Linked DNA regions of Schizosaccharomyces pombe. Changing the gene in region 1 together with any one later gene gives a genetic interaction. Each region holds a gene or a part of one and is shown in the gene's direction. Other genes may lie near its edges.

Region 1 (3,835 bases):
AAAGTGTGGTCCTCATTGATGCCAGCTGTACGAGGTTTTTGGATCAACGTAACCTGCAATACAGCATGCGAACGAGATGAAGCAGCGTTAGCTTCTGTCGGAGACATAGTACGATTAGCATTTCCCTTCATGATAATATCAATGATTTCTTCCAAAGATTCTGGAGACAAAGAAGTAAGACCTGGTACAGTAATGCGACGGTCTGCATCTTCCCGTAAATTTAATGGCTTTGCTTGATTTGGGGTCGGTGATACTAATAAATCACGAATAGTTTCATTATAAATTTCCAAATAGGAAAGGCGAAGGTCAAAAATTTTTTCATCTCTTAAATGATCCATTCTCTCAAAAAGTTCTTTTAGTGTCAAATATATTAAACCAGGATCTTGCATTGTTCCACTAATGGTGTGAGTTTTACCACATCCAGTTGCTCCATATGCAAAGATAGTAGCATTGAATCCATCCAAAATATTGTCTAATAACGGCCTGGCAGTTCTCTCATACACCTGTTGCTGAGTAGCAGTTTCATCAAAAACCCTATCAAAAGCATAACGAAGATCACGGCCAAATCCCGCAGAATTGTTTGACTTTCTAGATAATCTAGCGAGACTCTGTTGAGAAGTAGAAAGTCTGCGGTTTGTGGCACTCAAAGTAGCCGTTGTTTCATCCGGGGGATCAAATACCAAGACACGTCCATCAAGTACCTTTACTACTCGTCGAATTTGACGTCCTGAACCAGGGTTCCTTAAGGAAGAAGATGTTCCAAATGATAAACGATCTGAGGATGCAATTAAATTTGCAGATTCAGCTGTACTAAATGGGCGAACACGGACTATTTTATGTTAGCAAAAAGATATGAATTTAAAAAACATCACATTAAAGACTAACCTGTAACGGTAATGGACGACTGTCTTGACATTGAAAAGCAAAATTTCCATGCAAGCAATCATCCAAAACAGATGAAAAGAAGGGCACTCGCAAACAACAATTCCAATAACCTTCTTGAATAAAAGCAATTTATATCGAAGATCACTATTAAAATAGATGTAACAGTAGAAAAGAGCGAGAAACGCGTTTTTTGAGTGCGCTTCAATGTTGACTGTTTGGCATTTGCCAAGTTACATTTCTTAGTCAAGTAACGCACTTTGTTTTGAATGGTTGTTATGGCAATAAAAGATGTAAACAATTACATTATTTACATATTTTGACAATAAACACAAATACAGGTAGTTACGATTAAAATCGAGTTGAAATACTGTTTTACCTTTTCATTTTCACTAGTTGTGTATAATGCTATCTCAGTATCATAGATGCTTTTACAGTATTTTTATTATTATAAAAGGCAACTAAATTCGATGATTGAACTGAATCGCTATCGTTTGGTTTGTAACTTATAATGTACACATGCCTGGCAAGATTCTTGCTTTGCTTTACTTTTATCACACTTTAATAAATCGTCCGACAAATTTAAATCATTTTCACCTATAATTGCAATAGAACATCAAATAAGTGTATATATTCTTCTAGCACTTCTATAAACACCACAACTGCTGCACTAGCTACTTTATTGCCAATTAACTGATGGCCTAAATATCTGATTAGTTTGAAAGCAGAGGACTAGTGAGCGCTATAAACAAAATTATATTCTATATTTTATATTGGGTATTCCTATATTCGTTAGGTACTAAATACTGAGTTTTACTTCACCTTTTAGTCGATATCGTTGAGACTTTTACCAATAGCAACTATAATGAATTAGGGGTTTTTCGTGCTATAACATTACCGCTCAATTTCTTTCAAACCACCAAGCGTCAAATTAGAACTACCTACTAAGCATTCGAATATGCAATAAAATTTCACCTTTGCCATAACCATAAATTTTACTATTGTTGGATAAGTCTTATTATTGCTAAGTAATTGATTACCTTAAGTTCATTTATCAAATAACAAAGCTCTACGTTTCAAATTTCAAAAAAAAAAACTTAACCTACTCATTGAGTTGTTTCAAATAAAAAAAAAGCAATTGGATTCTCTTCTGTTGGAAAGCACCCTTCATACAGCAATATTGGTATTTAAGGCATTGAATTTAAATATATTACTATGGCATTTCGTGATTCAACTCGCGATTTCAACAGAAGTAGACCTGAAAAAAGGCATGCTTCGAGATCTTCTTCACCTCGTTCATTTCGACCTTCAAATCAAAATGCAAGAGCAAATTATAATTTAGTAAGTAGGAAAATGTTAGTTGTTTTTGAATTAACCTTCCCTTTAGCCGAGAGTGAGAGATGCTATGAAAGAGGAAGAGCGAAGTAGGGAAACGAAAGAAATGCAAGAACGGGAATTTTTGCGTTTACAGCAGCTTCGAAGAGCTATTATTCGACTTAAGAATGATCGTTCTAAGCCTATAGATAAACTTCTTGTCAGCGTTTACTTGATGCCAGGCCCAGAATGGGAAGAGAATGGAGAAAAAAATTCAATTGATTTTGGAACAGTTGACATGTTTGATCCACTCTCTGTTATTCAAGTAAGGGACTTATTTTATTTTTACTTTATAACAGATTAATCATTAACATACTTAGAGTTATAAAGCAGAAGATTTGGAGGAGATATCTAGAAATATTGGTGATATTCAGCAGCTGGAAACGAACCAATGTAGACTAACTTATTGGAAGGTATGGATTATTTTTTATGCTTTAAGTGCTAAATTATACATTATAGTACGTTAAAATGCTAGTGAATTCTCGAATGGAACATAACAAAGTTGGGCAATTTTCAAGAGGGTTAAAGGTCGTAGCAGGTGAAGTACAAAGGATTTTAGCCCCTAAATCTTTTGAACAATTAGAACAGCTTGAGGCACAAATTCAAAAAAAATTGAAGAGCAATGTCCCTCTCGATACAGATTATTGGGTTGATTTACTAAACTCTTTAAAATCTTACAAGGCCATTGCTTATTTAAAAAAGACTTTTAATGAAGAATTACAAATTCGAAAAAATAAACTTGATAATGAAGAATGGGACAAAGCTTTTTCCGATGCCAAAAAACTGTCAAATATGAAGGATCGTGAAGAGAAGTTATATATTGTCCCTATAGACCCGAAGCCCATTTTGAGGGCTCAAGCGATACCACGCAGGATACAACCTGAAGAACAAGCCGATTATGAAAAAGAATTGGTAAGATATTTGTGTTTTTCATAATATTAACTCTCTTCCAAATTACGATTTCCATCTTTTGTCCTAACCAAAATCTTTTCTAGAATGATCATGTCAATATTGTAAAGTCTAGCACTTATATTCCAATATCGATACCTACCCAAAAACAAAAGCCAACTTTGCCGAAAAACAGTAATCTGATTAACGAGGATGAATTTTCAATTGCCAACAGGGCACGACTCGAAAGAGAATACTTACAATCCGATGATGCAGAGGAGCAAGAGATGCTTGGGGACTATGTAGAAGGGCAAACCCGTGTTGTTAACGAAAACGGGGTTACTTTGAAAAAGCCTCACTACTTTAATAGAGTTTTGCTTGGGTTTGAATGGAATTCTTATAATCAAGCACATTTCAATGAAGCCCACCCACCTCCCAAAGCAGTTCAAGGGTACCGTTTTAACGTTTTTTATCCAGATTTAATAGGTACAGGCCGTGCACCAACGTATCGAATAGAACGAACACGAAGGAAGAATAAAAGCGACACTACTGATTTACAAGACGATGTTTGCATTATACGTTTTATAGCTGGGGAACCATATCAGGATATTGCCTTCAGTATAGTAGATAAAGATTGGGATTACAGTGCAAAACGAGATCATGGGTTTAAAAGCAGTTTTGACAATGGTGT
Region 2 (3,600 bases), on another chromosome or scaffold:
ACTCCTTTTCTAAGATCAGTTGCTGTCCTTTTGGAATGATGCATTCTTCTATACTTAAGGAAGTCATATTTTTCCAATGAAATTGGATGTTATTTTTGATATCTCTAGAATTACTAGTATTGTCATTAGGTTTTTCCTTGACATTAGTAAACTTGGCTAAAATTTACAAAATACCTGTTGACTAAGGGAGGCTTCCTGGTAAGACGATCCTAGAAAAAGGGTCAATTATAGATCGTGTAAAATTACAAATAATACCTTCTTTAATTGATCGGTTAAATTCATTGGCAAGCGCAGCAAGATAAGGTGATTGAAGCAATGCATTAAACAATGCAGAAGTTGTAATAGCTTTAGGGTTTCCAAAAACAGCACCCTCACAACCCTGAAAATTAAATGACTCTACTTGTATCCAAGGAATAATGCCTGATTGACTAGGAATTAAGTGAATTAAAAAATTGCCCAATGTCACGATACCTCCTCTTAAAGATGTTATCCTTTTTTCAGTAAAACTAAAAATCACAATCAATATTGTGCTGATAAATTGAAACATACTTATTTAAGTCCGAAATGCTCTGAGACGAAAACTCTGCTTCAATGTAAAACTCTGTATCGGATAGCTTGCATCGAATTGGATGTTCGTATCGTATATACTGAAGTTTAAATATAGTCAGAATTGGTTCGAAAGATAGAAGATAAAGTATAATACCTCAAATATTTGTAAAGGCTGACATTTAAATACACGTATCGGAAGGACATCTGCGTTTTTGATCAAATTCAATAGTCCATTCTCAAGCCAAGGATGTTTTAAGCAATTTGACATTGCACTGTTTAACGCAGCTAACTTTTATATAAAAATCAACTTTTTTTAATAAGTAACAGTGCTGACTGAAGTCTGTTGATATTTAATCGTCTACTTTTTTTCTTGAAAGCAAGGTCAGCAGAACACTGCATTCATCATTTCCTCAAAACAAAATAATTGAAATATTATCATCAACTCCAAGGACTTGGTTCTTCTAGTTTAGTTACTGTCAAAAGCACTTTCAATCTAGATTTTGGATAACAACTTTTCAGTATTCCAAATCTTTAGAAGTTACTACTCATGTATTTAGTAATGGTTCATCCAAAAATTTATAAGAGAAGAATCAAATAATAGCAGGTTGCTGTATCTCCCATTAACAAAATTGACTTACTTCAAAGGAATTGCTGTAACCTTCTACCCCAGACGACAAAACTTGAAAAATTAGGCAAGAATTTTCTTTTGCTTAGAACTGTTTTATAAAATTTTGGTGATAAGTTAATAAAGGGTGGAATGAATTGGCTTAAGAATGTACTGAGTTATTTAGTTACTGCACTTATTACTACAAGAATTTTAACCACGCATTTTAAATGTGCGGATATCAAACATACTAAAGATTGAAGCAATTACCGGACATTTATTTATAAAAGATCAACAATACAACCAATCTGCTTTTCAATTTTATTCTTTATACTACTTCAATTTGCTGCTGCTAAGTCTAAATTGGTGTACAGAAATAAGTAAAAAAAATTTCATAATTGAAAGAATAAATTAGCTTTTTTCAGTGTTGTTAAAGATCTCAATAGCTTGGTACCGTGCTGAACAGTGTTTACATCTATAACTCAACTCACATTTAGCCTACTACCACCATTTTGTAAATAAACTTATTTGTGCAATTTTTTGGTGCGATCGGTCCCATGAAGCTAAAACATTTTTAAAAGCATAACAGCTGATGTTGCGATGACAAAAGAAATTGCTGTGAAGGAGGCTTCAAATATGCTTCTACAAGAACCTTCAACCCCATCATCACAAGCTGTAGGACTGAGCAGCTCACCTAGTAGTTCGATTCGTAAGAAGAAGGTAAATTTTAGTAGTGAACTAGAAAATTCCCCCGGTGGAAATCGACCATCTTTCGGTTTACCCAAACGAGGTATCTTAAAAACTTCAACACCTCTATCTAGTATCAAACAACCAAATTTTCAATCCTTTGAAGGAAATGAATCTGAAAAAGAGACTTCCTTGCAAGAACTACAATCCTCGTTTTGTTCCGGAATAGAAAATCTTCAACATGTTGAAAAATCTGCTCGAATCGAAACATACTCAAAACTGTCTTCCTTTTTGAAAATCTATACACCAAGTCTTCCCGAGGATCCAATATTCCCCCTTTTAAATCAACTTTGCAATTTTTTATTATCGGATAGATGCTCTAACAATTCAGAGGGTAGTCCCGATTTTCAATTGAATACTCAAGCAAACAAACTTCTCAGCATACTTCTTTGGCATCCAACTATTTCTTCTCACATTCAACCAGAAACTGCCACAGTCTTCATTGAGCAGTCGCTGAATTTTTTAGAAGGACCAAAGTTAACTAAAGCACTCGCGGCTCAGCATTTGCATCTTCTTTCTTGTCAAAAATGCCCTCTTTCCATTCACCCTTTATGTAATCGTATTTTAGACGTGTGTTTTAACATTTCATTCCCTTCCCTTGTTATAGGTCAGGAGCGATTAGCTGTCTTAACAAAAATTTTAAGCCAATTTCCACTAGAATTTTCGCGTCGTGTAGTTGATTGGGCTCCTTATCTGCTAGCTTGTTTAGTTGATGCCTCAAGGCCTATCCGTGAGAAAGCGTTATTACTTGCTTTGGACCTGAGCAAACATTTGTATCACGACAAGTTAGTCGCACGGACTATCCTCGCTAATTTTAGAAGTGATATTAAGGGAACTGCATTTGTTCTTATCATGACAGAGCAATTTGAGAAGCTTGTCATTGAAGAAGACGACGGTGTCTATGTGGCTCATGCCTGGGCTGCCATCATATCAGTTTTGGGAGGTGCAAGAATTTCCTCATGGGAATACTTTAACACATGGCTTAAAATTATTCAGCTTTGTTTTAACAGCATGAATCCTTTAACTAAGTGTGCAGCCCAAACATCTTGGATCCGTTTAATTCATGAGTTTTCTCTTTCTGAAACCCTCACACAAGCTACCAAGCGGTTAACTCTTTTGTGTCAGCCTATTTCCATGGTTCTAGGTTCAAGGAATTTGCCAACAGTAAAGAATGCAGCAATGACTACTTTGATTGCTTTAATATATGCATGTTTGAGGCCCGGAATCTCTGATGCCATGCTCTCTTTACTGTGGGATTCAGTTATTGTCAACATACTTGAAAAGTGTGCCTTGAAAAACGAGGTTACTATTTTTGAGTCTTCTAACATACTTTTGGCTCTCTTTAACACGCTGTCTAATGGAGTTTGGAAAGATGACCGCTTGGTTTGCCGTGAATCGGTAGAAGCAAAAGAACTTCCAAAGCTCAATCCTGTTTGGGTTCGTGCTAATTGTAGTCGGACAATTGAACCGGTCAAGACTTTACTTTTATTAGCCAAACCAGATCATACTGTTAAAACCACTACGCCTGCTCGTAAACAGCATATACGAGGTCTTAGTTATGAACAAAGTTCGTCTGTTTGGAGTACTTATATAAAGTGTTTGGCCAGTGCTGGACAGAAGGAAATTAAAAGGTCTGTAGAGACTGGCCGAGCTATATGCTGCATATGCTCATCGCTTCACAAATTTTTATATTCGAAATC
Region 3 (3,835 bases), on another chromosome or scaffold:
GGATGGCTTTACGAAATTTCTCACCAGCCTCACGGCTTAATGGATTTCCAGCAAAAAGTTTACTAAAGATTAGCGAAGCCAATACCGTATCAAAAATGTATGAATAATAAGTAGCGCTATATCCATAAAGATGACTAAACTGAAGATACCAAGCAGCAGGTGGAGCAGACTCAAACCCACTGAACTTTCTGGTTACATTAGTAACTTCATCGATAGAATTAAATGACGGATCTAAGACAACCTTCGAGTGAAACAATTGATCCACCATAGCCATACAAATTTGAGATTGTAAATCTAAGGGTGCTGAACTATTTTCAACCATGTTATGATGGTTCAAAACTTGTACAGGTAATGGAATCTCAGTTCCTTCGTAGCGAGCATAAAGCGGTAATACGGCTGGATTTGACATAAAAAACTCCATAATAATTGAAGGAAGTTCAACAAAGTCGGTTGCACAACGAGTTCCGGCTAAGTTCTGATATTTAGTATGACCTAGAATGGAATGCATGGCATGCCCCATCTCGTGAAAAAGTGTTTTCACATCCCACAAATCTAAAAAGGTAGGATCCATTCCACTAGAACGTACGAAATTACACAATAACGAAATGACAGGTATTTGATACCGTTTGTTATCCTTGACCCTTATATTAGTAGCATCATCAAATCCAAGACTTATAGAATCGTCAAAGCTTGTCAAGTCTAATTCCCGAGAAGAACGAATTGTAAAATGAGCAGCTCCATCTGTTTTTCCTGTTCGAGCAAATAGATCGAAATAAATTACACCCATTACATGATCATTTTCATTGTAAACATTGACCTTATTTACATCAGGATGCCATACCTCACCAGGGGAAATGTCCGCTGGAACAAAACGAAGCCCATATAAAGAACTAAATAGTCTAGATAGACCTTGAATAACTGTACCAACAGAAAAAAAACGCCGATAATTCGTTATAGAAGGGTTTAAAGAAGGCTTTTGATTTATAAGAGATTGTTTATAGCGAGCAGTATAATATTCCCTGTCCCAAACATCAAATGATGGAAGAAAATTCAAGTTTAACTCTTTTTTCTTCATTAACGCGAGATTGTTTAAAATCTTTTTTAACACGGAAGAATTTTTTAATGATAAGTTCTCTAAAAATTCAACAACATGTTTAGGAGCATTAGCCATTTTATCTATAAGTTGTAAATCTGCAAAACTACTTTTTCCCACTAGTTTCGCAACTTCCGCTTTAGACCTCAAATAGGAATTTAGCAATTCGACTTCTTCAACTGTTCCTTTATGACCTTCCATGTAAATTTCTTTCCTGACGTCGGGATTTGCTACACTAATCAAGGCCTGTGTACCTTCGTATCCAACAGTTGGAATCATAATAAAGTTTTTGTCATTCTTAGAGAGTGAGCGTACAAAATATGGGTCCGAACCAGCCAGACGTTGCTTAGAAATAGTTAAATAACGCTGAGGACGATTCATGCTATTATTAAAAAATGCTCTTCCAAGAGTTGCAGATTCAGAGGACTTTTTAACAAAGGAGTTTCTTTTCGAGCTCTCTAAATTTACGCCCGATTTTTCAAAATCTTGGAGGAATACTCTTCCAACAGTATATGCTTCAGGATCTGTATCTTTCAACGTAGGAGTCTGTTGTAAAGAACACTTTAATTTTTCGTAAAGACCTTGATGAGTGTTTAAAGTGTTCATCAGCTCAAATAGATAACTGTAAGCTTCTTCTGCTTTCATTACCACCATCTTGTCAGGATGGGCGCAGCGCACAAACTCAAAAAGGTCAATGACACTGCATAGTAAGTTAGAAATCCTGTCAAATTTGCTGACTACAATTGACCCGTCTTCAGTATCCTCGAGCAAAAGATCCTCAATCACGGCCTTACATTTTTCAGATGCAGTTTCCGCGAGCCTTAGGAAGCCGGTATCTTTGTCGGAAAGGAAGTGATTACGAAACAATCCTACTCCCTGAATTCCATTTCTTTTCGTTATCTGGTTCACAGCTATATTCTGATCATCAAAAATTTGACGCAACAATTGGTCTTCCGCTTTGCGACTTTGAACATTAGAATATTTTCGATAAAGACTAAGAATGCACTGCCTATTTCCAATTACTTTTTTTTTTCCCAATGTAAGCAAAGTTCTTACTTGCATCGTAATATGCGACAAATTTTTGGTACATGTACAGGCTATATGAATGGTATATATTTCCAGGAGGGTTTACTTGAAATACCAACCACAAAAAGTATCCGCATGAATAGTATACATATAAAAAAGAAAAGCAATCGATCGTTCAGAAGAAGAAAAGTTTTTGGAAATGAAAAAGAATTTGATTTAGAAGAATTAGATGATAATGATATTCGTCTACGGCAAGCTTTGGAAGCTACTAAGAGGCGAAAAATTAGAAATTCGATTATCGGGATAAATGCTGAAAAGTTATTAAATCAAGAAACAAAAAAAGAGAAACAATTGAACACTGCTAATGAGCCTCATGAAGCTAATGATCAGACCTCAGCTCAATCGTCGAAACTTATAGAGGCGCAACTTCCAACCGTCGAAGATAGGTTTGCTAAACAAACAAACGAGGTTGACATCAACACGCATTTATTAAACTTTGTTGAAAAAAAACTGAAACAGGAAAGGTTGGCCCAAAACTACTCAGAAAATGGAGAGACTAATGCACTTAATACAAAAAATGAATCGACGGTACAAAACATAAAAAATTCCTTACATCCAAATGAACATTCATTTATTAGAGATGCAGCTGCTCTTGGTGCTATACGTGAAGTAGATTTAGGGATTATTAGTACCGACGTTGATAATTTGAAAAATGGTCGGAAACGACAAAAAAAAAGAGCAAGAATGAAAGAAAAACTAGACTCGAAGGCTCTTCGCACCTCTGAGGACGCTGCTCGGGATGAATTTATTGAAAAAATGTTAAAACCGATATCCCAAGATGAAGAAAGTAAGGGAATCTACAGGCGTTTTCGCGTTTACAAGGATGGAACTCAGGATTAACGATAATAAAAAAGAAGCAACAGTTTGGCAAGGTTCATTAATTCAAATTATTTATTACATTTTTTGAGTAATCAATTCGGATAAAGAGGTTTGTTTGTGTTTTATAAAATCCTTACTCAAAACCTCAAATGTTTATTTATCAAAAATATAGTTTTGTAACTTTTAATCATTATGGGCATTAAAAAGAGGGCTTTTGCTAGAAAAGACGAGCTTAACTAAATAACTAATTTTTCACAAGTTCTTCATTTTGAGGCGCTGATTCATCGTTTGTTGAATTAACAGCGACAGGAGGAGGAGGAGGCAAAGGAGTTGTTTGGGAATCGTTAGTAGAAGAAGCGTCTTTGGTTTTATGATCCAATTCTCTGCTTAGTTTTTCTTCTTCATCTAAATATGATTGAATAGAAGAATCTTGGATAGCGCCTTTATGAGACTTCTTATGTCTTTGATAGTGCGGGATAGATATTTCATTGCTAGATCCAGCATTAGCAGAAGCGATTTTAGGTGGTTCTGGAGTAGGCAAAAAGTTTTCAGTTTCACTGGGCTGAGACACTTTATGATCTGGACCCCCCAGCATGGGATTTGAAAACACAATGTCCCCAGGTTGTGGAGGAGGTCCTGACAAAGGAGCGGGTAAGCGATGCAAGACGCCATGTCCAACACCACATCCAATAGCTCCATTACCTCCCCAATGACGATTTGGGACAATGGTAACTTGACGAGTGGAGTCGCGATAATGATTGTAGATATACAGGCGTAAGGGTCTGTTGAGATGCTGTTAAATTGTTAGTCAAATAATTTATCTTAGCACATAATTTA

Evidence for each region.
Region 2: of cay1 (region 1) and rif1, changing one enhances a phenotype caused by changing the other (phenotypic enhancement), as found in Schizosaccharomyces pombe (one study listed by BioGRID).
Region 3: mutations in cay1 (region 1) and tls1 impair growth when combined (synthetic growth defect), as found in Schizosaccharomyces pombe (one study listed by BioGRID).

Annotation. Positions count from the first base shown.
Region 1 is NC_003423.3:1,711,006-1,714,840, forward strand, and holds the start of cay1 (cactin), read left to right. Parts: upstream 1-1,861; 5' UTR 1,862-2,097; coding exon 2,098-2,223; exon of another isoform or gene 2,224-2,269; coding exon 2,270-2,521; exon of another isoform or gene 2,522-2,576; coding exon 2,577-2,669; exon of another isoform or gene 2,670-2,715; coding exon 2,716-3,168; exon of another isoform or gene 3,169-3,251; coding exon 3,252-3,835. Other genes in the region: kinesin-8 family plus-end directed microtubule motor Klp5, read right to left, coding at 1-829, 886-916. UniProt on the Schizosaccharomyces pombe protein: Plays a role in pre-mRNA splicing by facilitating excision of introns featuring long spacing between the branchpoint and 3'-splice site (ss).
Region 2 is NC_003424.3:2,764,617-2,768,216, forward strand, and holds the start of rif1 (telomere length regulator Rif1), read left to right. Parts: upstream 1-1,656; 5' UTR 1,657-1,753; coding exon 1,754-3,600. Other genes in the region: tpz1 (telomere-protecting protein), read right to left, coding at 1-136, 175-209, 256-506, 550-647, 704-817. UniProt on the Schizosaccharomyces pombe protein: Negatively regulates telomere length. Appears to play no role in transcriptional silencing of telomeric loci.
Region 3 is NC_003424.3:637,157-640,991, forward strand, and holds the start of tls1 (splicing factor Tls1), read left to right. Parts: upstream 1-2,235; 5' UTR 2,236-2,254; coding exon 2,255-3,019; 3' UTR 3,020-3,242; coding exon of another isoform or gene 3,243-3,791; 3' UTR 3,792-3,835. Other genes in the region: peptidase Oct1, read right to left, coding at 1-2,155; grh1 (GRASP family protein), read right to left, coding at 3,243-3,791.